7 linked regions of the Macaca fascicularis genome follow. The protein of the gene in region 1 purifies or fractionates together with the protein of each later gene. This does not show direct contact. Links are inferred from orthologs where the notes say so. Each region holds a gene or a part of one and is shown in the gene's direction. Other genes may lie near its edges.

Region 1 (4,124 bases):
ATGCCTTCTATTCCCACACGTTTCTAATCTCAAGATTCTGCCCTACTCCGATGATCTTCTGGGTTGATTTGAACTGAAGACAAGGACACATATCTTGAGACACTGTCATATTCTGTTCCGGTTACCTAAGAAGATTAACTACGCAAGTTTCTTCCATTACCAGGAATAAAACTTTGAGTCAAATTTAATTTAGTACTAAAGGTTGCAAATGCTGACGTGCTCTGATAGAAGCGAAAGCTTGGTTAACGGGGTGGGATGGGGTGGGGGCAGGAAAGAGAGACCCGGGAGCAGAGAGGAAGGAGTTGGTTGTATAGGTGGAAGTTTGAGCTTGGGAGGAACCAGGTAGCGACCTCTCCTCTGAATAAGGGGCGCTCTGGGCCACTTCCTCTTTCTTCAAAACAATTAAGTTGACCGTGGACTTTAATCACATTAGCAGGGCAATTTTGAAACAATAATCCGAAAGAACTTTTGCCCGTTACGGCAACTTTTTTTTTATATTATGGAGATCAGTCTGAAAGCAAGCTATTTGCCCGATTACTTTTTGACCAATTTATTTTCGGTTTAGTCAGGTTTCTTTCCAAGTCTGTGCTAATCTGAATGGCTACCTTAGTAATTACTTTTTGACCAGTTTATTTTCGGTTTAGTCGGATTTCTTTCAGTCTGTGCTAATCTGAATGGTTACCTTAGTACATCAATGTCCTAGTAACTGTAGCAAGGACATTTTTGCTGGAAATCATTTAAAGCAGGTGTCTTTGAGTCATGTAGCATACACAGCGGTATTTACTGCTAGTTTTTTACACCTAATATCGTTTATAAAATTTTATCTGTTGCTACTATATTTGTGAGGTTTATGAAAAAAATTGGTTATGAACACTATCACAAGGAGGCAAAATCAAGCTTAGAAATCAATTAGTGACTCTGCTGTAAAATAGTACACACACACACTTTTTTAAGCTATACATTTATTAAATGCCATTAGAGCTGGTACAAAATACAATTTTTAGCTGGTGGCTCTATGCCGGTTACAACGCAGCCAGCATGGCATACTTGGGTTTTCAAGCCTCAGGAGCTCACCCAGCAATACATAGGCAGGCAGAAGGGGTAGACAGAATAAAAATCAGCGAAAGCCAGGATATTAATAAAGAGTTTTGATGGTTAAGGACAAGTAGGCAAATTAAGACGCTGGAAACCGAGGAGCTGCACAGAAAAGAAAACCAGGGAGCTGGACGACAAGGACACAGTAACAGCACAAGGGGATTTATCTAAGGGGCATTCCGATGGAGCAGGCAGGCTGCGCCCAGAAAGGTGGGGAGGGGTTGGAAGCAGATGGGCAGGGACGGGCGAGCGTGCACAGCCTGAAAAAGTTTTCATGATGGCTCCAGCCTAATTTCCCAACGCTGGTCTCGGGCGCCACAAAACCCGAGCGGCCCGACCGGAGCCGGGTGCCAGCCTCAGGGCCGCCGGGGCCCGGCGCAGCGTCCGGAATTCCTGCGATGTCTGGGGCCCGGCGGCGGCTCCTCCCCGCCCCCACCGCGGCCTCCGCCGGCATTTTCCGGCGAGGAGGCCCGCGAGCCCTTCGAAGAACCGGCTCCACGCGCGGCCGGCCGCGGCCGGCGCGCTTCCCGGGGAGAAAGGCGAGCGCGGCGTCCGGACCGCGGTGAGAGCCCTCCAGGCCCGGGCGTGCGGGGTGGGCTTCCCGGGTCCCTGCCCGAAGGCCGCGGCGCCCCGACCCTCCCCCTCCCCCGCCCCCGCCCGGGGCAGCCCTCCCCTCCCCCCGGCGCGGGCGGGGCTGCGGGCGCCAACGCGGAAGCGCGGGGCGCTAGGGCTGCGGGGGCGGCGGCGCGGGAGGCCGCGCGCGCTCCCCGGGCCGCAGTCGGCGCGGGCGCGGGGCGGGGCGAGGCGGCCGGGAGGCGGCGGGCGCTCGCGCACAGGCCTGGCCGCCGCCTCGCCCCCCCTTCCCCAGTCCCTACCCTCTCTCGGCCTAGCCGTCCCCCTCCTCTCCCCTCCCCCGGGCGAATCACGCGCCCTCCTCTGACACTCGTAGCGGGCCCGAGCTCCGAATTTATCCTTCACGTGACCTGAGGGGGTTGGGTGGTTGGCTGGGGACGGAGGGGGAGACGGAAAGGAGGGAACGGAATCTGCCGTTACCTGAGCAACAGGCCCCGCCCGCCGGATCGGGGCCGGGGGGCGGGAGGAGGACGTCAGCACGTCAGCCGGGGTTTTGCGTTTTGATTGACAGTTGCTATAGCGACCGGGTCGGTCCGTCGCCATTTTGTTGGTTGGTTTTTTTTTAAACCCTTTCGCTTCCCGCCCGAATAATAATAAAAAGCCCCATTGGAGTGAGGCGGGGGTGGCGGCGGCAACCGCGGCGGGGGTATCCGGGGAGACTGCTGCCGTCGCTGCTGCTGATCGCGGCCCAGGTCGGGCTCAGAGAGCGGACACCCCGAGCGGGGGGTGCGGGCGCCGCCGCCGCCGCTTCTGCTGCTGCTGTTCCTGCTGCTGCTGTTGGTGCCGCTGCCGCCGCCGGCGAGCGGGCGGGACCGGTGTGAGTGCGAGTGTGTGCGAGGGAGCGTGTGCGAGGGCGAGTGTGCGCGCGAGTGTGCGGGTGTGTGCGAGTGTCTGTCTGTCTGTGCGGGGACTCGGGGGCGGGCGGTTCGGGCTCTCCTGGCGGAGGAGCCGCCGCCGCCGCCCGGGCCCCGGCGCTTCTCGCTGCGCAGGTTCGGAGCGCGCGCCATTTTGTGAGATTTACAAAATCCTCCTCGGGAAGAAGCCGCCGGCAGCAGCCGCCGCTCGGCGCCCGGCCTCGCCGCCGCCGCCCTCTGTGCCGGGCCGGGCCGCGCGGCCCCGCCGCCGGGAATCGGGGCCCGGGGACTGCGGTATTTGCCGGGGAGGGGGCTGTCGCCTCCCCGGCCCCGGGCGCCGCTGGAACCGCGAGCCGAGGAGAGACTGAGCAGGCTGCGGCGCGGCCAGGAGCCGGAGCGCCGGGGGCGGAGAGAGGCGGCCGGGGCGGCGCTGGCTGCGGAGGCCGCGGCGGGAGCGGGAGCGCGGCGCGGGAGCCCGAGGCTGAGACTCACCGGAGGAAGCGGCGCGAGCGCCCCGCCATCGTCCCGGTGAGTGTCCGGCCCGGCCGCGGCCCCGCCCGGCTCGGCGCTCGGCTACCCCGGCGGCCCGCAGCCGGGCCCGAGCCGAGGCCGGCCGGGCGGAGGGAGGGACCTGCCATTTTAGGAGGAGGCGCCGCGGGCCCTGGGCCGGCCGCCGGGGGAGGGAGCCTCAGGCCCGGTCCCAAAGGAGCGGCGGGCGCGAGCGGAGGGAAAGTTGCGGAGGGTGGGAGCGGGGGCCGCGGCCTCCCGGGAGCCGGGGCCTGGGGGGCCGTAGACAGCGCCAGACCTTCACTGGCCGCCCGAGCGAAGGGGTGGAGGTTGTCTTCCTCCTCCTCTTCCTCCTCATCTTCTTCCCCCAGCTCCTCCCTCGTCCCTCCTCTCGGTCCCCACCAGTGTGGGAACCGCCGGGGTGCTTCGCAAGGACAATGCACGGGTTAAGAAAATGGGGCCGGCTGGGCGAGGACGGCGGGGCCGGGCCGGGCGCCGGGGAAGGTCGGGAGCCGCTGCCTCGGCGGCCCTGGGGGTCCGCGCCTGAGCGAGGGGCACTCACTGGTCTCCGATGTTGGGCGGGGAGCGCGAGTGTCCCCGGCGGCTCGGGGTGGAGGGATGACCTGCCCGGCAGCCGGGGGAGTTGGTGGCTGAGGAGAGGTGAATTAGAATGGATACCTGTGTATCGCCACAAAACTTCACGAGTCTATTTATAGGCACAAACCCACTCTCGCTTCGGAGCCACTGAAGCTGCTGAGCAGTTCAGCTCTTGGCCAAAGGCTCCTCCCTAATCTGAAATAGTTAAAAATGGTAAAATTAGTGAGTCAGTGACTTCGGTTCCTTGCCTGTGCCTTTAGCCCAACCCTAGGTGACACGAATCCCGTAATCTAGGCGCAGCGCAGGAATGCCAGCACCATTTGGTTCTTGAATTCCTCCCAAATTGTCAGAAAATACGCCTTAGAATATGGTTTTCACAAGTGCCAGGCGCTGTTCTCAGGGTTTTCCGTGGAGCGACCAGCTTGCCCAGCCGGTAGG
Region 2 (4,137 bases), on another chromosome or scaffold:
GAGACTCCGTCTCAAAAAAAAAAAAAAAAAAAAAAAAAAAGATGCAAAACCATATTATTCTATGAAATAGGAATGGAGACTATAAAGAGAGATTAAGTTGAGATAAAGACAGAGGTGGAATGGAAGTTGGCTGAAAGAAAATAAAATCAAACAAGCAGAATCAAATGTCTTATTGGAGAAAATAAACAGTACTCTTGACTCTGATGAAAATCAAATCCGTAATGGTGAAGAAAAACTTGATATAGTCTCCCAGGGTGCAGAGAAAACAGATTTATTTGACATTGGTGATCCAATGTGATAGTTTTAGAGGACAGGAAAGAAAAAACCCAAATCTTTTCACAGAATGGACAGGAAGAAAACTTTTCTAAGCTGCAAAGAAGACCTCTTTTGTTTCTGGAAAATTAATAGATAAGGCCCATATTGATTTATACTGGCAAAATGTTTGACTTCTGAGGGTAAAGAAAAACCCTTGCAAGCACCAAGCAAACTGCTGACCTTAAACAGACAAACCCAGCTTTGCATTTTCAGTGCCAGAAGACAATGAAATAAAGACAAGAGTTTTGAGGGGGAAAGCTTGAGACTCAAGAATCCTATAAATAGGAAATCACTGTAAAGGCATTCTCACCTAGGGCAAAGGCTTAGGAATACAACATTCCAGAGTCCCCCCTGAAATCGCCAGTCATGTGAGAGATAGGTCCAAATGAGGAATAGAAAAATTAGAATACAAAAAACCGGCAGTGACATTGAAACCAATTAAATAGAGTTGGCAAAAGCCAAAAACAAGGATTGAAAAAGAATGTGGCTTAAAAAAAAAGTGTAAACAAAAGCTAGGTCTGTTGTCCTGATTAAGTGGACAAATATAAGTAGTGAGGGCGGCAGGTAGGAGGCAGAAAAGCACATTACATTTCTTATGACATAAAGGGGAATATAAAAACGAATTATTTGTCACTGACTTTACTAATTTGTGAAATGTAAACTATTTTCATTTGATTAAAGGCAGTCGCGAGAAGAATTAAAAACACTTTCTGCCTTGAAAATCACGATAGAAAATAAAAGCAAATGTGGGAAAATTCAGAAAACAGGAATAAATAAAAACTAGAGAATACAAAGTCGTAAGACCAAACACGACACCTATAAACAGCAGAGACGTAATGCGTTAAATCCCAGCCACAGTAGAGACTGCAGTTCTTAGGACAGACCCTGGTGCCTCCAGGCCTTTGCTAGTGCTAAACTCTCGGCCAGGCTTGTTTCCCCACCCTATTCAAGGCTGAGGCCTCAATTCAAGGCCGACTTTCTCCTCCCGGCAGTCCTCCCGGGCCGCCCTAGGCTGAGTGAGCACTCCCCACAGTGAACGCTGCCGGCGCGGGCGAGGCCGGTGCTCTAGGTCCGGGACAAAGTCCCCACCTCACTCCCTCTCACCCCGGATTGCAGCGTGTGGTCTGGGGCCACGCGTTACGCCAGGCGCGGGACAGGGTGAAAGCGTTCAATCCTGCTGGGGTATAATGTGCATTTTTTCCCCGTCGCACCTTCCAGACGGTGATCCAGTGTGAGCAGCAAGTTTCAAATCGTCTCCGTTTGATCACGAACGGAGTTTACTGCCCTTCGACGCCTCCCGCACGACAGCCCGTGGTCCTCGCGCCCGGGCGGGTCGTTTCTCGGCCGGGTGGATCCACCCGCGACGATTCGTCCCGACCCCACCTAGCGGACTTGCAAGGTCCAAAGGCGTCCGCTGGGAGGCCGCGTCCGGAAGAGCTGGCGCGGGAGAGGAATGGGGCTCGGGGCTCGGAGTCGGGAGCCCCTTCACCCAAGCAAGAGGAGCTCCTCCCCCTCTTCCTAGACGTGGGATTCAGCGAGGGCGCGGTTCCATTGGATTTGTTGCAGACGAACGACTGGGCCTAAACCCAAGCCCAAGGGCCTGGGGGGTAACGAGCGATGACCGGAGGGGATTGTGGCTGTCTTGCTGCGCCCTAGAGAGGGTGAGGCGGAGGGGTCCCACGCGCGGGCGGGGCGCAGCGACGAAGGGGTTAAGGCGCCTCGCCCCGCCCCAGCCCGGGCATTGGCTGTCCCGGGGGGCGTGGCCGGAGGGCGGGCTCGCGTTTGCCGCAGCCGCTGGTGGGCGGGGCTCGGGCGGGGAGCAGGAGGGGCGCGGAGCGGAGCCGGGCCCGCGCCGCGCGTCCCGCCGGGCGTGCTTCGGGCTGCGCCAGCGAGCCGGGCCGGTGGCGCCCGTGTCGGAGACCCCGCGCCGGACCCTGAGGCAGCGAGTAAGTGAGGCAGGCCCATCGTGGCATCCCTCCCGGCTCCGACCTGCCGCCGTGCCTGCTGCACTGCGCGGCATGTCAGACCTGACCGGGACTGGGTAGGGGGCGCGTCCCGCTGCTGGGGTCCCAATGGGGAGGGGAGCGGAGAGGAGGCGGATGATGTCATGGATGCTTCGCCCGGCCTGGGAGGAGGTGGCGGCCAGAGGGGGTGCGGCTCGGATTATGTCACCTCTTCCCTCTGCGCCCCGCCCCCCGGGGCCACACGCGTTGGTGGGGAGCCTGGGGAGGTGCGGGCGGGATTTCCCCCATCGCAGGGACTCCTAGGTCCTGTGGCCTGTGGCTGGGGTCTCTATCAGTTGGCTCTGCGGGCCATGGGCTGCTGGTGAATGGCGACCCCCCCACCCCCAGCAGAAGCTCGTGTTTGCGCGCGTGTGTGTGCTCGGGGTGGAGGGGGCGCTCTCGGCCCCCTCAGTCCTCAGTCCGGAAACACCGGCTTCATCAGAGCCAGTAGCTAGGTGATGGGCCCATTCCGCCGCCAGTGCTTAGGCCACCGAGGGAAGATGGATCTCCCCTTACTCATCCCAACCAAGAAGTTCTGGATATCTCTGCACCCCAAAAGCCCTGCAGTGCCCCCAGATCCCTTTCCTCCCTCCGTCCTGCTTCCTGGAAACCCCTTCTGCTCCCCCTGCCCAGATTCACTGCCTCTTTGCATGGCCCATAACTAGCATTCCCACAGGCATTTGCCCTGCATTTCTTTGGTGCAGGGCCCAGAGATCCCTAGGACTCTGCCATCTGTGCCCCTGGGAAACCTACAGGCCAGACATGGGGATGCCTCAGAGTGAAATCTCCCTGGAGTGACCTGAGCCAAGGGCTCCAAGACGCCCCCTCGGGTGGGTAGAGATCAGGGATGCTGTCCTGAGGCCAGCCTTTGGACTGGTCTAGAAGCATGTAGGATGGTCACAGAGAGCTGGCAAGAGCTTGTGTGTGAAGTAGAGAGGGGCTCAGGTCAGGGGAGATAGAGGAGGGGCATCAGGAGGGGCCTTGGGGACCCTGCTGCAAGCTCTACTCTTGTTCTGGGGACCAAGAGGAATACCAGGCGTTTCACCCATTATACATTTACTTCTTAAAATGCCTGCAAGGTAAGTGTGAGAACTCGAGGTGAAATTACCTGCATGAGGTTGCACTGCTAATCAGTCCAGCTGGGATTTACACTTGGAGCTGATGCTGCCAGAACTCTGTCTACTGCACTTGATCCTGCTCGTGGAAGGATCTGGACAGAGCAGGGGCAAGATCAGCTTTGCCCTTTAGAAGGAGTTCCCTGGCAGCTGCCTGGGGGAGGGAGTGCAGGAGAAGAAAGTCCATTGAGGAGCCCCCAGCAGGGGTGCTGGATGGAGGGGCTGGCTAGAGATTTTTAGGAGATAGAATGGTCTGGGGTTGGGGCCTCTGAGACACCAAGTGTTCCTAGCTTTGGGAGAGACACAGGTTGGGGAGTGGGTTGGAGGTACCTATACATGTAACTCTTAGGTAGAGTCCGTTTGGCACCTTCATGACGCTAATACTGTGTATAATGCCCCAGGCACTGAGGGCTGAGGTGACAGAGATCGAGGCAGTTGGACAACAGGCTGTCATCCCAGGGTGGTGCACTGATGCCAGGAGGCTGCCTTTGCAGACCATGCTCAGTTACCTGGGCCAGTTCAGGACCTTTCCTCTTGGTTCAGTTCCTGCTTATCAGGGAAACATCCTCTTCCTTGTCCTGCCAGTGCCCTACTGGGATTTTGTGGAAAGAAGCTGCAGCAGTCAAAGCTTGGGAGAGACAAGGGGCAGGGCATGTTTGCAAGGGGTTAACCATGACAGGTTAAAATTACGACAAGAAGCTCTT
Region 3 (3,500 bases), on another chromosome or scaffold:
CTGACTACCAGCAAAAATAAATGCTTATCCTACATGTCAAGCATCTCTCCTTTTTACTGGAGTGAAAATCCCCTCCAGATACCAACAGAATATCAACTGCAGAAAATGCTTCACATTTTAAGGATGTCGGCAACCTAAATTCATGTACCCTATCTGTACAGTTGTTGTGGATGGTTTGCCATCTGAAAGCTCCTCAAGTTCTTATCCAGGCCCTGTGTCTGTTTCTGAAATGTCTCTGCTTCATGCTTTGGGTCCAGTGCAGACCTGGCTGGGACAAGAGCTCGAGAAATGTGGCATTGATGCCATGATTTACACTCGATATGTCCTCAGTCTTCTGCTGCATGACAGCTATGACTACGACCTGCAGGAACAGGTATTTACATATTTTAAGTGTTTTGTGAAAACTGATTGTATCTGTATGTATACATTCCTCTTAAACAAGCACTTTCATACTTTAAAACTGGGCTATTCATGTGTTTCTGCAAACATTTAACCTGTCAGTGACCAGATGGTAAGATTGCCTTGGAGTGTCAATCAGCCTGTGTCACTGAGCACCCTGTTAAGTGCAGTTATTTCATTCATGGTTAGACTTTCTCACTGTTGATTACGTTTTGGCATAGACTCCAGATCTTGTGATGGATTGGTCATAGTTTGATGACCTGCTGCCTTTAAATAGCAGTGCTCTAGAATGTTGATTTCTACTATTTAGAAAACTCATACATTATGAATAGATATTTAAACATTGTATCTATTATACTTCTTACCATTCCAAATTTAATATTGTATTTTATCTGCAAGAAAGATATTTAACTGCTTATTAGTCTGTATGTATAACAAATCAGTAGACTTTAACTTCAGTAAAGCACACAGTTTTGCCATAAGTCAGTGTGTGCCACCTTGTAAGTTGGTCATTACACATTTTACTTGACTTTGCTGCTGAGTTTATAGTGAGAAATTGGGCTGGGTGTGGTGATTCACACTTATAATCCCAACACTTTGGGAGGCCGAGGTGGGAGGATCCCTTTAAACTGGGAGTTTGAAACCAGCCTTGGTAACATAGAACCCAGTTTCTAAAAAAGTATTAAAAAATTAGCCAGGCATGGTGGCACGTGCCTGTAGTCTGTAGCTACTCAGGAGGCTGAGGTGGGAGGATCGCTTGAGTCCAGGAAGTCAAGGCTGCAGTGAGCCATGATTGCGCCACTGCGCTCCAGCCTTGGCAACAGAGCAACACTCAGTCTCTCTCACATGCATATGAGAGAGAGAGAGAGAGAGAGAGAGAGAGAGAAACAAAAAGAAAAGAGAAACCAAATACAGGTTCTTGAAAAAAATCTTAACCTCAGTCTCATTCTTAAGAGGAGCTACTGAAAGTGAGGCCTGCCAGAGGGAACCAGAGTCATCAGTAGTGAATAAATGGGCTCTGGGTGACTTCTGTGTACAAATTTCACGTAAAGTCTTTTGGTTTTTATAGACAGTAAAAAGAAGGAGGTATTTTGTGGGCAGTTTTTGTTGCTGTTTTAAACCATTGTTACCCACACTGAAAGCAAAGCAGGAAGAGTTTCATTGTCAGAAGAAATTGGCTTTGCCCCTCCAAACCACACAAAAAAGCCTCAAAGTCCTGTAAATACAGAGGATTTCACCAAGATGCTTTTTTTTTTTTTGAGACAGGGTCTTGCTCTGTCACCCAGGCTGGAGTGCATTGGTGTGATCATAGCTCATGGAAGCCTTGAACTCCTGGGCTCCAGCCATCCTCCCACCTCAGCCTCCCAAAGTGCTGGCATTACAGATGGGAGCTACTGTTTCCAGTCAGCTTAACATTGAGTTGTACAGAGCGTGTTTGATGAGAGGGTTTCCCATTGTGTCTAGCTGGACATGTTTGATGAGAGGGTTTCCCATCGTGTCTAGCTGGACATATTTGATGAGAGGGTTTCCCATCGTGTCTAGCTGGACATGTTTGATGAGACGGTTTCCCATCGTGTCTAGCTGGACATGGTGGACGTGTCTTGCTTCCAGGTTGCTTGCTGCCTTGGCTGGCAGTAGATCCAGTAAGGTTTTGAAGCGATTAACTTATAACCTAATAATCAGCAACTGTGTTATTTTGGTGGTCAGTATTTTGTATAATTTCCTTCCCAGAGCTCTGTTATTTGCCATCATCTTTCTGGTAAATGTCAAATATACTCCTTTACAGGCAAGTAAGACGTTAAATCTACAAACATGGAAGGACTTTCATTTCCAGAAATGAGGAAAATATTTCTCATCATTCAAAAATTACATACTTCATTGTAAGCATGTACTCATAGGGAATGATTTTTTTTTTTTTTTGAGACAGGGTCTTGCTCTAATTGCCCAGGCTGGAGTGCAGTGGCGTGATCACAGCTCACTGCAGTCTTAACCTCCTGGGCTCAAGCGATCTTCCTGCCTCTGTCTCCTGAGTAGCTGGGACCACGTGTGTGGCACCCCACCCAGCTAGTTTTTAAAAAACTGTCTCTCTCTCTTACCTAGGCTGGAAAGAATAGTTTTTTAGTAGGACTTGAACTTCCCATTTCTTAGAGTTGTATGTCAGCAATATCAGTCCAGAATAGTTAATCAACACCAATACATTTACTAGCACAAAATATATTCTGGGTGCTATAGGACATACAGGATAAAACAGGCCAGATGTTAATAAGATTATAGTCAATCACATCTCTGATCAGACTTGTGAATCCTCTGGTTTCTTTACTAGCTCTAGGGGGTTGTGATCAGAGATAAGATGAACTATCAGTATCTGCAGCTGTGTTTGATCCTCCCTCCAGAGTTCTGGTTCATTCCTCAGGACACAGGACAGATAAAGGTTAGGGAAAGCATAACATGTCTGGAGTTATAAGGAGAATCCATAGGGAAATAAAAGGCCCTAAAATACTTTTCTACTTGGTCCAGAGTAACAGCAGTGTGTGCCAAGTCCCATGCCGATGAAGAAGGTCAAATTTTAAATGATACCTGTTTTAGTAAGACATGACCTGAGAATCCTTTATCCCCTACGTTACTTTTCCGTGAAGTTACAGTCCCTCTTTAAAGGTGGCAAAAGCCAGATGCCTGACTCAAAGGGAGGATGTGCTTACTGTTTCCCCAGGCACAGAGGATGCAGAAGCCAAGGATGGTTCTCTTCTAGCAAGAGTAAGGAGAGTGGAAGGGCCCTTAGCTTCTGTCATTCAGAACTCCAGCTAACAGCAAGGCTGACAGACCTGGGTGACGGTGTGTGCCACCTTTCCTGATCTCTGGCTCATGCTTGTGCTAACACAGCCCCTCAGGTGGAGGCCAAACCACTCTACTCCTGGGTGTTCATTTCCTCACATCTTCTCTCACCCCTTTGTCCTTGAGTTAGTCTAGCCTTGAGCGGCCAGTTTTAAGACCCATCACTTTTCCTGGTTTAGGCTAAAGCAGACACACAGTGCTCTTGAGTTATGAAACAGATTGGATGCCTCAGTTTGGTCTCAGCTGTGCAGGATGATAAGGAAGTAAAG
Region 4 (3,500 bases), on another chromosome or scaffold:
AGCACATCCGGCTAATTTTTATATTTTTAGTAGAGACAGGATCCATTGCCTTGACCTCCCAAAGTGCTGGGATTACAGGTGTGAGCCATCACGCCTGGCCAGAAAATTAAGAATTCTTAACCCCATAATACTATCATCACACCTCAGAAAATAGACGGTAATTCCTTAGTATCATCAAGTATTTGGTCAGTGTTCAAGTTTCCTTCTCTCATAAGTGTTTTAGGATCCAAACAAGGTTGACATGTTGCATTTGATTGATGTGTCTCTTTAGATTTTAAAAATCTCCCCCACTTTGTTTCTTTGCAATTTGTTGGTTGAAGAAACTTTGCTTGTCCTGTAGAATTTTCCAGTCTGGGTCTGGCTGATTACATCCAGGTGGAAATACGTTTCTTACTCCATTTTTATTAATTTATTAATTCTATTAATGTAATCTTATTAAATTTAATTTATCAAATTGTATTAAATGAATGTATTTAATCTTTTATTATTAAATTAACTAGAATTAACTCTATTTAATTCTACTATTCCCACTTCCTTTATTAGCTAGAATTCTTCTTTAAAGAAAAACTGTCCCACACCAGCTATTTGGCTACTTTGAGATATAGTTTGTGCAGAAAAAGCAGTGTAAATATTTAATTTTTTCCATTTTATTTACCAGTTTTCAGAGAAGTACTACTCCAAAGGTGACGAATAAAAGGATTTTTGGTTTTGTGTCATTATGAACTCATGAATTCTAAACATATTTGATGAGTTTTAATCCATTGCACTTATTTGTGTGTTTTTTTGATGCTTAAAATGAACTACCCCTGGCTAGTAGGAGCTTATTGAGATGGGCTCCTCTGTCCTTTTGACACGTCCTCATCATTCTGTGAGCCTTTCTCACATCTTCCATGACAATATGTGCTAGGCTCATCCTGTACTCTCCCTGCCCCAAGCCTGGAAACAGCCATTTACTTCTTTCTTTTCTTTTCTTTTCTTTCTTTTCTTTTTCTTTTTCTTTATTTTCTTGCCTTCCTTTCCTTTCCTTTCTTTCTCTCTCTCTTTCTTTCTTGTACTTTCTTTTTCTTTCTTTTCTTTCTCTTTCTTTCTTTTTCTTTCTTTTTTTTTTTTTTTTTTTTTGAGTCAGAGTTTTTCTCTGTTTCCCAGGCTGGAGTGCAGTGGCACAATCTCAGCTCACTGCAACCTCTGCCTTCTGGGTTCAAGCGATTCTCCTGTCTCGGCCTCTTGAGTAGCTGGGATTACAGGCACATGCCACCACACCTGGCTGAATTTTGTATTTTTAGTAGAGACAGGGTTTCACCATGTTGGTCAGGCTGGTCTCGAACTCCTTACCTTCCTGGTGATCCACCCACCTTGGCCTCCCAAAGTGCTAGGATTACAGGCGTGAGCTACCGCACCTGGCCAGAAGCAGCTATTTCTTTAAGGAGCACTGGTTCCTTTCAGTGGAGAGTGGCATTCAAAGGCCAAGATTTGGGGGCTCAGCATTCTTGCTGCTACTAGATTGGTCATTGTTTCTAGGCCTTTTCAAAAGATGGAGCTAGGAAATAATTTTTTTTAAAAGAGAAGATGATACATCATGGGTTCATATGGACATCCCGACTGTGTTTTGGGAATTTTTTTTGCATTTTAATTTTTAAAAATGTATAAATTTTTAATTTTCGAGGGGACATAGTGTATATGTTTATGGAGGTGTTTGGATACAGGTATGCAATGCGTAATAATCACATCATGGAGAAGGAGGTATGCATCTCCTCAAGCATTTATCCTTTGTGTTACAAACAATCCACTTACACTCTTTTTTTTTTTTTTTTTTTTTTGAGACAGAGTCTCTCTCTGTTGCCCGGGCTGGAGTGCAGTGGCACAGTCTTGGCTCACTGCAACCTCTGCCTTCTGGGTTCAAGTGATTCTCCTGCCTCAGCCTCTTGAGTAGCTGGGATTACAGGTGCGCAACACCATGCCCAGCTAAATTTTTATATTTTTGGTAGAGAGGGGGTTTCACCATATTGGCCAGGCTGGTCTCGAACTCCTAGCTTCATGTGATCTGCCCCCCTTGGCTTCCTAAAGTGCTTGGATTACAGATGAGAGCCACTGTGCCTGGCTACTTATACTTTTAGTTATTTTAACTGGCTCTGTTTTAAAGGTAAGCCAACAGTGTTTAGTGATTATCATTCACCAAATATTCACACCCACCGAATTCCTCAGCTTTATAATCTGCAAGAAGCCCCGTTTTACTGCATCTAATTGTGTTATTTTACCATAGATGACAGTCTTTGGAGTCTAGACAGTGACAGAGGGTGCTTTAAGGTGTTTTTATATAGAAACCCCTGTGGGGCTGGCTGTGGGCTGTCACACTTCTTACTGTCTCTGCTTGTTCCATCCCCTCCTCTGCTTCATTCCCTTGCTTTTTCTCTGCCCCCTCGCCCCGGCCATGGCTCCAGGTTTCTGATGTTCCGATGACTGGCAACCCTGCAGAAGAAGGTGACGTCCCCAGAAGCAGTCCTCCTGTGGCTTTTACAGAAGTCCTTCAGGCACCGGCCATCAGGATTCCCCCCTCCTCCCCTCTCTGTGGCCTGGGTGGCTCCCCCAGAGACCAGGCCTCAGGGCCCGATGCGAGCGAGGGGGCCACCGGGCCTTTCCTGGAGCCCAGCCAGCAGCAGGCAGAGGCCACATGGGGAGTATCGAGTGAGAGTGGAGGGGGGCTGGAGGCCATGAGTGGGTCAGAGGAGCTGCTCGGTGAGGACACCATTGACCAGGAGCTGGAGCAGCTCTACCTGTCTCATCTGAGCCGCCTACGGGCTGCTGTGGCTGCGGGTGGGGCAGGGGGTGGTGGGGAGGGTTCCACAGATGGAGGGATATCCCCCAGCCATCCCCTGGGCATACTGACGGACCGCGACCTGATCTTGAAGTGGCCTGGCCCTGAGCGGGCCCTAAACAGCGCCCTGGCTGAGGAGATCACACTGCACTATGCCCGGCTGGGGCGTGGCGTGGAGCTCATCAAGGACACTGAAGACCCTGATGATGAGGGGGAGGGTGAAGAGGGGCTCTCTGTCATACCCTCCAGCCCAGAAGGGGACAGCCCCAAGGAATCGCCTCCGGAAATCCTCTCCGGGGCCCGTTCTGTGGTAGCCACTATGGGAGATGTGTGGCTTCCATGGGCAGAGGGCTCAGGATGTGACGGCCCTGTGGTTCTGGGTACAGAGGGTCAGTTCACTGGGGATCCTGAGAAAGGGATGGGCAAGGACACTAGCTCTTTGCACATGAATAGGGTGATAGCTGGGGTGACCGAGTACCTGGGGGAGGCCGGGGCAGAAGCCCAGATAGAGGTCACCAGTGAGTGGGCAGGCAGCTTTGATCCCATATCTGGCAAGGAGCCAGCCTCTCCTGTCCTTCTGCAGGGGCAAAATCCCACCCTCCTCAGTCCTTTGGGGGCCGAAGTCTGTCTCTCTAGCATAGCCAGGCCTCATGTGAGCTCCCAGGATGAAAAGGATGCAGGCCCAAGC
Region 5 (3,500 bases), on another chromosome or scaffold:
GCAATTATGTGATTTAGAAGAGCACATCATAGATTTATTAATCAAAACTGACCAACGAGGTATCATCTCTGCTCCTTCTCTTAAGCCCTCTGTACCTGTGCAGGTGAGCAGTGAAGGACAGGGTTGGGGTTAACAGCAGGAGGGTGCTCCTCTGTTCATCTCAAGGTGTCTGCTGCCCACCAGAGAATCAGACGTTTCCCTTGTCATACATTTGCCACTCCCTGGAACTGACCTCTTGAGGAGTCTCTAGGTTTTAAAACATACTGATTTTTTTCAGGTGTTATCTGTGAAATTTTATGATCTGTTGCCTGCTAAGATAGAAACTTCACTTTTCTTTCACTTTTTGTTCCTCACTTACTGCTAGGCAGAATACATGAGTCCTTCAGCACAGTTCCTTTCTCCCTAGCCTTGTTTTACTGCTTTATGATATTCATGTGTAGTATTTTGATGAAATGTATTTGCTTCTCAGTAGTTTTTTAAATCATTTGTGGGCTTCTCCCTTTTACTTACCTTTCTCGTTTGTCTGTCTGTTTGTCGTTATAGCCATCCTGGGGTCTCCAGCTAGTGGAATTCAAAACACAATTGGTTCTGTTGGCACAGGGCAACAGAATGCCACTTCTTTAAGTAACCCAAATCCCATAGACCCCAGCTCCATGCAGCGAGCCTATGCTGCTCTCGGACTCCCCTACATGAACCAGCCCCAGACGCAGCTGCAGCCTCAGGTTCCTGGCCAGCAACCAGCACAGCCTCAAACCCACCAGCAGATGAGGACTCTCAACCCCCTGGGTAGGTGAAGAAACTCTCAACTTCATTCTTACTTGTCCAAATATAGCAAAGGGAATGGAGTGATGGAACCCAAGGCAGTTTTCAGTTTGTTTTGTGTTTTTTACTACAGTGGTTGAAATAAAAATCTCCCAGTAAAAAGCTGAAGTGTCTAATGCAAGGAAAATGTTATATGCTTATAAAAAGAGCAGCATTTGCAAATGAAGCAATGTTTTTGTTGCTTGCTGTGCCACTTCTCTCTGGACAGTTTTCATAAAGAATGTGCCATGTGGCTCAGAATGCAGATCTCACAAGTCAGGATGCTGACTGGACCCCTCGTGCTGACTGTTGTCATTTATTTGATGGAGAACTTGCGTTTGCCACTTCCTCACACATCTTGGTTAGGGTCTACCCCACAGTTGGAAGTGACCAGCCTGGACTTCGGCAGGTTAATGACAGGAGCCCTGGAAACTCTTTTCCCAGGCTGCTGGACATGTCAGCATTTCTTTTGTCACCCCAGCCCATTATTTGCCCACCTTTGGTCATTTGCTCACACATACCCATGATTTTTGCCATTTCTGCATATGGTTTCCTTAATATTTTTCTTTAAGTGGACACAGTCCCTTTACATCTAGGCTTAAGCTAAGCAGTGATGTCTGTGAAGTCCAGACTGGCTGGCTGGCTGTGCTAGTTTTGTTCTTTTCCTAATAAAGTATTTTACGGTTAACAATTATTCCTTAAAATATGCCCAGCTAAAGTCATCTTATTTGTTGCTTTTTGGAAAACAACTGCCCCAGTGAATGTCTAACTAATAGTGGCCAGGAGACTGGGTTAGAGTCCTGAGACCCAAGTCTTAATCTAACTCCTCTCCTGTTGATGGTATAATTTAGGACAAACTTAACCTTTATTAATCTCGGCCTTCCTTTACTTTAATATGAAGATTGTAGACAAATTGACCTCTGTATTTTTTTCCTGAGCTTAATTTCTATGATTTTATTTTCTGATATTGGGGGTAGAGACACAGAGGTATATGTCAGTGCAGCTGAGTCACTCAGAAGTGATACTAATGAAGCAGAATGAAAGTCAGAGGCTGCATATGGATCATTTATAACTTTTTCACTTAGATACCAGCTAATCTCCATAAACACACCTTACTTTGGTTACCAAGTAGAGTGGGGAGGTGTCTACTGATTATTTGTGCACGTTGATTACCATTATTGAAAATATGACACTCGGGGTTCCTGCCTCAGTGCTTATTATAACTGACCAGAATCACTTATTTAAATAATCACCAATTGTTTATGTGATGACATGTTGGTTATCTGTCATCAAAACTTTGAAGTATATATTAAAATTTAAGAGTTGATTGATTTCTTTCTGTCTTTAAAGGAAATAATCCAATGAACATTCCAGCAGGAGGAATAACAACAGATCAGCAGCCCCCAAACTTGATTTCAGAATCAGCTCTTCCGACTTCCTTGGGGGCCACAAAGTAAGACCCTGTTTCAGTTCTGAGTGACAGTCCAACAAGAACGTGGACTGAGAACCACACAAAACTGATTCTTTCTAAATGTGTGGCAGAGAAAATAGTTTAAATGGGGTGGTGAGGGGTGAATGCTGTTTTCCTTTTTTTCTTTAATTGTAAGTGTAGAGCAGATAATAGATTAAACATAGTTTAAGTTTTATTTATATACATTACTTGGCTCTCCTGACTTAAACTTTTAGAAGTCACATGTGGTGGTAGAAGAACCTTATTAGACAAAGTATGTTTGAGTCGCTTCAGTAGATGGATGAAGTGTCCTTATTTCCTCCATAGCCCACTGATGAACGATGGCTCCAACTCTGGTAACATTGGAACCCTCAGCACTATACCAACAGCAGCTCCTCCTTCCAGCACTGGTGTAAGGAAAGGCTGGCACGAACATGTCACTCAGGACCTGCGGAGCCATCTAGTGCATAAACTGTACGTAACAGTTTTACAGTTTCATAGATGATTTTGTTCCTGTGTTGCCCATTGACTACCGGATGACAGTACCCTAGGATCCTATACAAGTCACGTGCTTATTTAGGGAGCCACTCTCACTGCTGGTAGAACTCTGGCAGCCCTAGGCAGGCCAGAGATTCCCGCACTTCATGTCCTCGGTGAGCGGGGGTGACAAAGAGAGCATTGGTGGCTCTATACTGCCGAGGGGCACTGACTTACAGCCCCTGTCACGGAGGCAAAGACCCTCAGTGCAGCCTGGCCTTAATGCTGCATGAGGCGGCTGGGGTTAGCTCAAGAACCTCACCTTATTTTGTAGTTCCAGATTCTAGTTGTGGAGACTCCTCAGAATTGGATGAGTTTATAGATGGCATGTCATTATCACCTTACAGTTAGTTAACATAACAAAGTTAAGTTAACTTTTTGGTTTTTTTGAAGACGGAGTCTCGCTCTGTACCCTAGACTGGAGTGCAGGGCGCAATCTTAGCTCACTGCAACCTCTGCCTCCCAGGTTCAAGCGATTCTCCTGCCTCAGCCTCCCGAGTAGCTGGGATTACAAGTGGGTGCTATCACCCCTAGCTAGTTTTTGTATTTTTAGTAGAGACAGGGTTTCACCATGTTGGCCAGGCTGGGCTCAAACTCCTGACCTCAAGTGATCTGCCCACCTTAGCCTCCCAAAGTGCTGGGATTATGAGCCACTGCGCCCGGCCTTTTTTTTTTTTTTTTTTTTTTTTCTTTCTTTCTTTCTTAGAGACAG
Region 6 (4,008 bases), on another chromosome or scaffold:
GAGTCTCACATCTAGCCTAGAGAACTCCTGACTAGAAGAGTAACCTTCAAAAACCGTTTTTCTCTTCTGCTGAAAAACAAAATTTAAACAGTTCCCTAGTTCACTCTCCTTCGGAGGAGAGGAAGAGCAGAAAGGAAATACAAGAGAGTCTACATTGCGTGCTAGACACAGCCACACTTGTAATACATCAAATTCCCTTAATCCTTTTTTTTCAAACTAAGCAAACACAAGTTCAGAGAGGTTGTAATTTGCCAAGGACCTATGACTAGTTAGTGCTAAAGATACAATTCAAAATCAGGCCTCTGAATTTCCTACCCCCTACTCTTCCCACCACAGTGGAATGCCTCGCCTGTCAAAAATAAAAATTTCTAACGGCCTATTGAGTTTTTCCATGATCTCTTCACCTAAGTAACTATTTCCAATTAATGCCTTCTCAGCAGGCTGATCTCATTTTTCCTTCCTTCACTTTCCTATACTTATTTTTCCTCTGATTCTACCCATCCTTCAAACTCCAGTTTAAACTTTTTTTTCCTTCCATAAAACTTTCCTCATCTTAACACAATTTCCCTCTCTGAATTTTTATATTACTTATAATAGGCACCACATAATATAGCGTTCTCTGTTACACTGCTTTTCCCTTAAATAGACCTTAACCTCCTTGAGGACAGAAGCTATCCTAATATCTTTGGAGTGGCAATCTTTCCAAATTTCTTTAGCTTTCCCCAGAGCCGTGAGTAGATACTTCTGGAAAGGACGAATGATCTAAACTCAATAGACAAATACTTGTTGATTCATTAAAGTCTGCCCCAAACTCTGCTGTTTCACCCTTTGCTTTATAATCTACAGCACATCAATTAACCCAGAAGGGCTGAGTGGCGAATCCACCCTGCAGCCCCGCCACGTAACGCTCCCGGGCCGCTCAGTCACGCCACGCCCAGCCTGCTGGTTGCCGATTGGGCGTGGCCCAGCCCTGGGACGGCCGATTGGGCGTGGTGTGCGTGACTGAAGGCGTGGCTGAGAAGAAAACCTACGCTTTGGGTTAGACTCGGTAGTTTCCGGGAATCTTCGACAATTTCCGGCAACGATTTTTCTCTCTCGTCGACCCACCTCGGGTATTTCCGACCCCTTTCGGGCTTTTCCGTCTGGCTCCCGCTCGGCTTTCTCCACTTCGGGAATTTCCGTGTCCCGCTCGGAAGCACTCGGCAATCGCTCGGCCTCCCCCATTCCCCGGTAACGGTCGCTGGTGAGTTTAAATGAGCCGGGGCTGGCCGGGCCGGAGCCGCTACCGGGGGGGCCTGAGGCACTGCAGAAAGTGGGCCTAAGCCTCGAGGATGACGGTGCTGCAGGAACCCGTTCAGGTAATGATAACCCTCTTCTCTGAGGCTTGGCTTGCAGCCTCAGTCGGGAAGCAGCGTAGGGCCACTCCGCGGCCTGGTGCGGCCTAGGCCCGGCTGCTTCTACCGCCTCCCTTGCTGCCGAGTCCTGCCTATCTTCCGTCAGTTCGGAGGCCTTGCCCGCAGCCTAAGCCGTGTTACCTCTGGCCCTACGTTACTTCACCCTTAGTGTGAGCGGCTTCGGCGAGAATAACCGTCTTTCCCGTCCGAGCCAACGTCCGGCCAGCCCTTCCTGTCAGCCCAGGGGCCTGGCTTGACTGGGGTTGGGAGATGAGGGGCCGAAAACGCACCCCAGGCGCTCTCTTGCCTAAAAGATGATCGAGAAGCACATTTGATCGGAGCTTGTATGATCTTCGCGATGGTAGGGCAAGTTTGCGGAGGTTTTTTTATTTTTGTCTTATGTGAGAGAGTGGAGGGAGAGTAGGATCGGTATCTTTAATACTAATTTCTATTTTGGTAACAGACTTCCTCTCCCACGTTTCCTTTCTCGGTGAATTTCCCACCGGACAATGATGGTTTGAGAAGACAACTCCAAGCCTCAGTGCTGAGGTGCAAGCACCAATACCAGGGGAGGAGGTGGAAAGGGCATATCTGGGTTGTTTTCATCCTCTCTGATGGGGATCAGGAGCATTTTGTTGTGCATGTTTATAAGGCATTCAGGAAATGAAAGACAAATAGTGGTGTTTGTGTCTGTTTCACTGCCCTTACACCAAGGTATGCTTTGACGCACAGTGCTGTGTTGCATTAAAGGAACCCTATTGGATTTTAAGTCTGTGATGCAGTGCCAAGTCATTTTCCCCTCTGACATCTGGAGAAACTGAATCTTTTGTGCCTTGGTAATGGACCAGGTCTGGGAGACTTCCTCCCACCATGTGATCTTTGACTTGATCAGAATTGACTTCTATCAACCACTGTCATTGAGTCTTGGACTTTATTTTGAAGTTATAAAGCAAACCGATTTTTAGAAATTCCTTCATATTGCCCTTAAAAGGCTTGAGGTATCAAATAGTAAATATTTTATTATGTCACTGCTTTCATATTTATTTCATTTTTCTAAACAGCATGAAATACTCATTTCTTCTAGTTTGGCTTCTTCTCCAGCTGTTTACATATAGCAGCTATTAGTGTTTGAATTAATAAAACGTTAAGATTGTATCTTATGAAATTTTCCTGTCTGTAAGTTGTATCGGTTTTTCTAGAGCTATTTCTTTTTACCAGCATAGTTTCTTTTAAGGCTTTTTTTTATTCTGGCTGTAGATGAGGTAATTATATAATTTTTTAAGGCCTAACATGAACTTAAATAGATAAGCAGATTACTCAAGTTATTTAATTTCTGTTGCATATTCTTGTAATTTTGTTTTAATAATGATTTTTTTTTTTTTTTTTTTTTTTTTTTGCCTTCTCTGGCCCCAGAAGTCTTCTAAAGTGATAAACTAGTTGCACTGATAGACGATAACCACCATTTAATAATAATTTCAGACTTTATAAAAGCATGGAAGGCCGGGCGCGGTGGTTTACACCTGTAATCCCAACGTTTTGGGAGGCCGAGGTGGGTGGATCACCTGAGGTCAGGAGTTCAAGACCTGCCTGGCCAACACGGGGAAACCCCGTCTCTACTAAAAATATTAAAAAATGAGCCGGGCGTGGTGGTGGGCGCCTGTAATCCCAGCTACTCGGCAGGCTGAGGCAGGAGAATTGCCTGAACCCAGGAGATGGAGGTTGCAGTGAGCTGACATGGTCCCGCTTCTCTCCAGCCTGGGTGACAGAGTGAGACTCCGTCTCAAAATAAATAAATAAATAAATAAATAATAAAAGCATGGAAAAGAAAAGGAATATGTATCCTATTTCTAGATAGTACCCATTAGGTTTCCTATTTGCCCTTAAAGTACTCTTAGCAGTAACACACTTCAATATTTTTAAGGCTTAAATGTCAAATTTGCTTCTTTTTCATACTAGCATTGTCCATTAGATTTTTGAGATAGTGGTAGAAAGTTTTAGGATATAACTAGGTAAAAATTTTGGTTGTATAGTATAAGAAGAAGCCATTCAAGAAGGGATTTGGAGCAGTGAGAAGAACAAGCAACTTTAACTACAATGATAAAGATCAATGATCAGGGATAGTGCTGCAAATGGGAAAGAATTAGGAAGAGAATAAAAATAGGACAGACACATAAGATACTGTCTTTATTTAAAAAAAAACAAAAACAAAAAACTATGATGACTGATTGCATGTATTTGGAAAGCAGTGAGAGTAAGTTGGAAAATTGTTCTTTCTTGGAATGCCTCAGAGTTGATGGTATTACTAGGCATAGGAAGAAGTTCACAGAAAAGATGAACAACTGTTTTCTGCATTTTTTTTTCTTTAAAGTTTTAACGTAGAATGGCCAGGCTGATATACCATATATGCCTAAATTAAAACTCCATCTCAAATTACCACTTCTCAGAAGAGTATTACTTTATATTTGAGTCCTTATAAAAGTCTCAAATATGAGGCAGAAGTTCTGTCAGTTCCTTTATTTTTAATAGTAACTATTTGGAAAGACACACTAGGCTAAGTGACTTCAGTGAGAGCTTTTTGGAAAAGTCATCTGATGAAATTGGTTTTTTAAAAAGA
Region 7 (3,500 bases), on another chromosome or scaffold:
GATCATTTGAGCCCGGAAGTTTGAGACCAGTTAGGGCAACACAGGGAGACCTTGTCTCTACAAAAAATAAAAAATTAGCCAGGTATGATGGCACACACTTGTGATCCCAGCTACACAGGAGGCTGAAATGGGAGGATGGCTTGAGCCCAGGAGTTTGAGGCTGCAGTGAGCCATGATCTTGCCACTGCACTCCAGCCTAGGGAACAGTGTAAGACCCTGTCTCAAAAAAAAGGTGAGGGGGCAGGTGCAGTCACTCGCACCTGTAATCTCAGTGCTTTGTGAGGCCAAGGCAGTAGGACTCCTGGAGGCTAGGGTCAAGGCTAACCTGGCCAACCTAGCAGGACCCCATCTTTATAAAAAATAGAAAAAAATTAGTTGGGCATGGTGGTACATGCCTGTGGTCCCAGCTACTTTGGAGGCTGAGGTGGGAGGATGGCTTGAGCCCAGAAGTTCGAGGCTGCAGTGAGCTACTGTTGCACTACTACATTCCAGTCTGAGCGACAGGGTGAGACCCTTTCACCAAAAAAATTTGTTTAATAAATTAAAAAAAAAAACAGTTTTTATTAATGTCATCCATAACATTCGTGTTGTGTTAACAAAAACAATTCCAACTATATGTTTGGCAAATGGGTCCTCCAATCTATTTCTAGCATAGTCCCTTTTTTTCCTTATATAGCAGAGCTCCCCTACCCCCAGGCTGAGGACTGGTACCAGTGCATGGCCTGTAACAGGGAACCAGACCACACAGCAGGTTAGCGGTGGTAGTGAGCATTACTGCCTGAGCTCCATCTCTTGTCAGCTCAGCCATGGCATTAGATTCTCATAGGAGTGCAAACTCCTGTGAACTGCGCATGCACCAGATGTAGGTTGCATGCCCCTTATAAGAGACTGACTAATGCCTGATAATCTGAGGTGGAATAGTTTCATCCCAAAACCATCACCCTCTCCCCAATCTGTAGAAAAATTGTCTTCCACGAAATGGGTCCCTGGTGCCCAAAAGGTTGGGGACCACTGTTATACAGTATCTTAATTCTAAATTAGAAGCTCATCATTTGGTCGGGCACGTTGGCTCACGACTGTAATCCCAGCACTTTGGGAGGCTGAGGCCGGCAGATCACCTGAAATCAGGAGTTTGAGACCAGCCTGGCCAACATGGTGAAACCCCATCTCTCCTAAAAATACAAAAAATTAGCTGGGCATGGTGGCAGGTGCCTGTAATCCTAGCTATTTGGAAGGCTGAGGCAGGAGAATCGCTTGAACCCAGGAGGCGGAGGTTACTGTGAGCCGAGATTGCACCACTGCACTCCAGCCTGGGTGACAGAGCGAGACTCTGTCCCAAAAAAAATAAATAAGTTCATCATTTTGGGCTGGGCAGGGTGGTTTACGCCAGTAATCCCAGCACTTTGGGAGGCCAAGGCGAGCGGATCACCCGAGGTCAGGAGTTCAAGACCAGCCTGGCCAACATGGGGAAACCCCGTCTCTACTAAAAATACAAAAATTAGCCGGGCATGGTGGCAGGCACCTGTAATCCCAGCTGTTCGGGAGGCTGAGGCAGGAGAATCGCTTGAACCCGGGAGGTTGCAGTGAGCCAAGATCACGCCATCGTACTCCAGCCTGGGGGACAAGAGCGAGACTTCGTCTCCAAAAAAAAAGAAGTTCATCATTTTATGCAGAGATTATATAGTAAATTCCTAACTGGTCTTCCTGCCTCTTGATTTTTCTCCAGTAGATCCTGTATTCTTCTGCCAGATTAATCCTCATAAAATGCCATTTATATCACCTCGGTGACACACCCTGGTTGCTTATCAGGCCGAGTTCTAATGCCTCATACTGGCATTTAGTTCTCTGCGTATCTCTCCTGAGATAACAAACTGTATTTATTCTACCTCTGCTTTGTTTAAAGCTGTTTTTACCTTGTGATTGTTCCCATAAATTGTCTACTCTTTGTCTTTAAACTAGGCCATCCTGCTGTTCTAAGAACTTATATTGTCTGTAATTTTGGTATTATTCTGAAGTGTTGCCTTATTTGTTAACTGATTCTTGGATCTCTCTTATTTCATCAAGTGAAATATAAACTCTGTAGGCAGAGTGCCTGTAGGCAGGTCCAGAGTCTGATTCGTTTTTTCACTCCCTTCTCCATACTCGACAGTGTAAGATAAGACTAGGCGCTTAGTACATATTTATAGGTCGCTGAGTCACCCATACTGTTTTCAATCATAGGATATTAGTATGATTCTCTTGATGATGGATATCAGCCCAGGTGATACTGTTTTGGAAGCTGGCTCAGGCTCTGGTGGAATGAGCTTATTTTTATCCAAAGCAGGTAAGAGATTGGATTGAGCTGGATCTCGGTAACAAAGAAAACGTTCAATTTGTTCATAATAACAGAAAGTTATGAGGATATTTGGGAAAATACCTAACATTGAGGTAGCATTCTCCTAGAATCTGAATGTGAGCACCTATTTTTCTTTCCATTTTGTACATTTATTCCAGTCAGTCTCTTTCTGATCCTCCCTCCATTTTCTTTGCTTTGTCTTTTTCCTTCATGCTCTCTAATGCTGCTGCTTTTTTCTTAAGTATACGTTTTATTGGAATATAACATAGCTACAGACAAGTGTGCAGATCGCAAGTGTATACCTCAGCGAATCTTTGTATAGTGACCACTTGTACTTATTACCCAGATCAAGGTAAGGAGTGTCTCTGCCCCACAGATGCCTCCTCATGTCCCCTCCCAGTCCTTATCATCACCAAAGGAAACCACTATTGTGACTTTTATCACCACTGATTAGTTTTGCCTCCTTTGAACTTATATAAATGGAATCATACAGTATGTACTCCTTTGTATCTGGCTACTCTTGTTCATCATTATGTTTGTGAGATTCACTCATTGCATACAGCAGTAGTTCTTTCATTTTAGTTGCTGTATAGTACTCTCTTCACAATTTACCCATTTACTGTTGATAGACATTTGAGTTGGATATTATAAATAGTGCTGCTCGGAACCTCCTTGTGTACTTGTCATGTTATTGTTGAATAATAGTGCCAGATGAATACTTAGCCTGAGGGAATATGGAAGGAGGTTGTCAGCTGCTGGGGGGAGAGTTAGACATCGTTAGGACCAAAGAATTATAGTAGGTGTTCATAAAGAAATTAATCATAGTACAGAGCTGTTAAGTAAAAAGCTACATTATGAAGAATTATCTCTTTTTTTTCCCGAAAGTCTCTAAAAATTGTCAGTTGATAAAAGTACTGCTTGAAGGTGGGTGTCTGATCAAAAATCAAGAGGTGTATATTAAACATATATTTTTTCATGTTCCTACCACTTAATTTCTGGTTACTTTTATGCTAGTTGATTAGTACCCCTTTGCCTACCTAATTTCTCTGAGTGTCAGGGTTGTTTTGGGTGGTCTGACTGTCTGTACAGTGTTCTCTTCCCTACATAATGATAAACTGTTGAATAGTCACAGTACTTTCTTTGAGTAGATTTTATAAAGATTACA

Evidence for each region.
Region 2: the proteins of DYRK1A (region 1) and LZTS3 purify together in Homo sapiens (affinity purification with mass spectrometry; 3 studies listed by BioGRID and IntAct, with this or other methods). This does not show direct contact. The link is inferred for Macaca fascicularis from reciprocal best matches to the Homo sapiens genes DYRK1A and LZTS3.
Region 3: the proteins of DYRK1A (region 1) and KIAA0232 purify together in Homo sapiens (affinity purification with mass spectrometry; 3 studies listed by BioGRID and IntAct, with this or other methods). This does not show direct contact. The link is inferred for Macaca fascicularis from reciprocal best matches to the Homo sapiens genes DYRK1A and KIAA0232.
Region 4: the proteins of DYRK1A (region 1) and PPP1R3F purify together in Homo sapiens (affinity purification with mass spectrometry; 3 studies listed by BioGRID and IntAct, with this or other methods). This does not show direct contact. The link is inferred for Macaca fascicularis from reciprocal best matches to the Homo sapiens genes DYRK1A and PPP1R3F.
Region 5: the proteins of DYRK1A (region 1) and CREBBP purify together in Homo sapiens (affinity purification with mass spectrometry; 4 studies listed by BioGRID and IntAct, with this or other methods). This does not show direct contact. The link is inferred for Macaca fascicularis from reciprocal best matches to the Homo sapiens genes DYRK1A and CREBBP.
Region 6: the proteins of DYRK1A (region 1) and CDC27 purify together in Homo sapiens (affinity purification with mass spectrometry; 3 studies listed by BioGRID and IntAct, with this or other methods). This does not show direct contact. The link is inferred for Macaca fascicularis from reciprocal best matches to the Homo sapiens genes DYRK1A and CDC27.
Region 7: the proteins of DYRK1A (region 1) and TRMT61B purify together in Homo sapiens (affinity purification with mass spectrometry, with the first as the bait; 3 studies listed by BioGRID). This does not show direct contact. The link is inferred for Macaca fascicularis from reciprocal best matches to the Homo sapiens genes DYRK1A and TRMT61B.

The regions. Positions count from the first base shown.
Region 1 is NC_088377.1:9,632,439-9,636,562, reverse strand, and holds the start of DYRK1A (dual specificity tyrosine-phosphorylation-regulated kinase 1A), read left to right. Parts: upstream 1-1,324; 5' UTR 1,325-1,657; intron 1,658-2,249; exon of another isoform or gene 2,250-2,278; intron 2,279-2,504; exon of another isoform or gene 2,505-3,110; intron 3,111-4,124. UniProt on the Homo sapiens protein: Dual-specificity kinase which possesses both serine/threonine and tyrosine kinase activities. Exhibits a substrate preference for proline at position P+1 and arginine at position P-3.
Region 2 is NC_088384.1:84,134,897-84,139,033, forward strand, and holds the start of LZTS3 (leucine zipper putative tumor suppressor 3), read left to right. Parts: upstream 1-1,337; 5' UTR 1,338-1,976; intron 1,977-2,102; exon of another isoform or gene 2,103-2,261; intron 2,262-3,022; exon of another isoform or gene 3,023-3,148; intron 3,149-4,137. UniProt on the Homo sapiens protein: May be involved in promoting the maturation of dendritic spines, probably via regulating SIPA1L1 levels at the postsynaptic density of synapses.
Region 3 is NC_088379.1:6,264,474-6,267,973, reverse strand, and holds part of KIAA0232 (uncharacterized protein KIAA0232 homolog), read left to right. Parts: 5' UTR 1-142; coding exon 143-373; intron 374-3,500.
Region 4 is NC_088395.1:49,441,474-49,444,973, forward strand, and holds part of PPP1R3F (protein phosphatase 1 regulatory subunit 3F), read left to right. Parts: intron 1-320; coding exon of another isoform or gene 321-375; intron 376-1,126; coding exon of another isoform or gene 1,127-1,228; exon of another isoform or gene 1,229-1,667; intron 1,668-2,438; coding exon 2,439-3,500.
Region 5 is NC_088394.1:4,561,963-4,565,462, reverse strand, and holds part of CREBBP (CREB-binding protein), read left to right. Parts: intron 1-543; coding exon 544-786; intron 787-2,151; coding exon 2,152-2,254; intron 2,255-2,578; coding exon 2,579-2,725; intron 2,726-3,500. UniProt on the Homo sapiens protein: Acetylates histones, giving a specific tag for transcriptional activation. Mediates acetylation of histone H3 at 'Lys-18' and 'Lys-27' (H3K18ac and H3K27ac, respectively).
Region 6 is NC_088390.1:68,162,520-68,166,527, reverse strand, and holds the start of CDC27 (cell division cycle protein 27 homolog), read left to right. Parts: upstream 1-1,208; 5' UTR 1,209-1,331; coding exon 1,332-1,358; exon of another isoform or gene 1,359-1,585; intron 1,586-4,008. UniProt on the Homo sapiens protein: Component of the anaphase promoting complex/cyclosome (APC/C), a cell cycle-regulated E3 ubiquitin ligase that controls progression through mitosis and the G1 phase of the cell cycle.
Region 7 is NC_088387.1:93,353,674-93,357,173, forward strand, and holds part of TRMT61B (tRNA (adenine(58)-N(1))-methyltransferase, mitochondrial), read left to right. Parts: intron 1-2,220; coding exon 2,221-2,323; intron 2,324-3,500.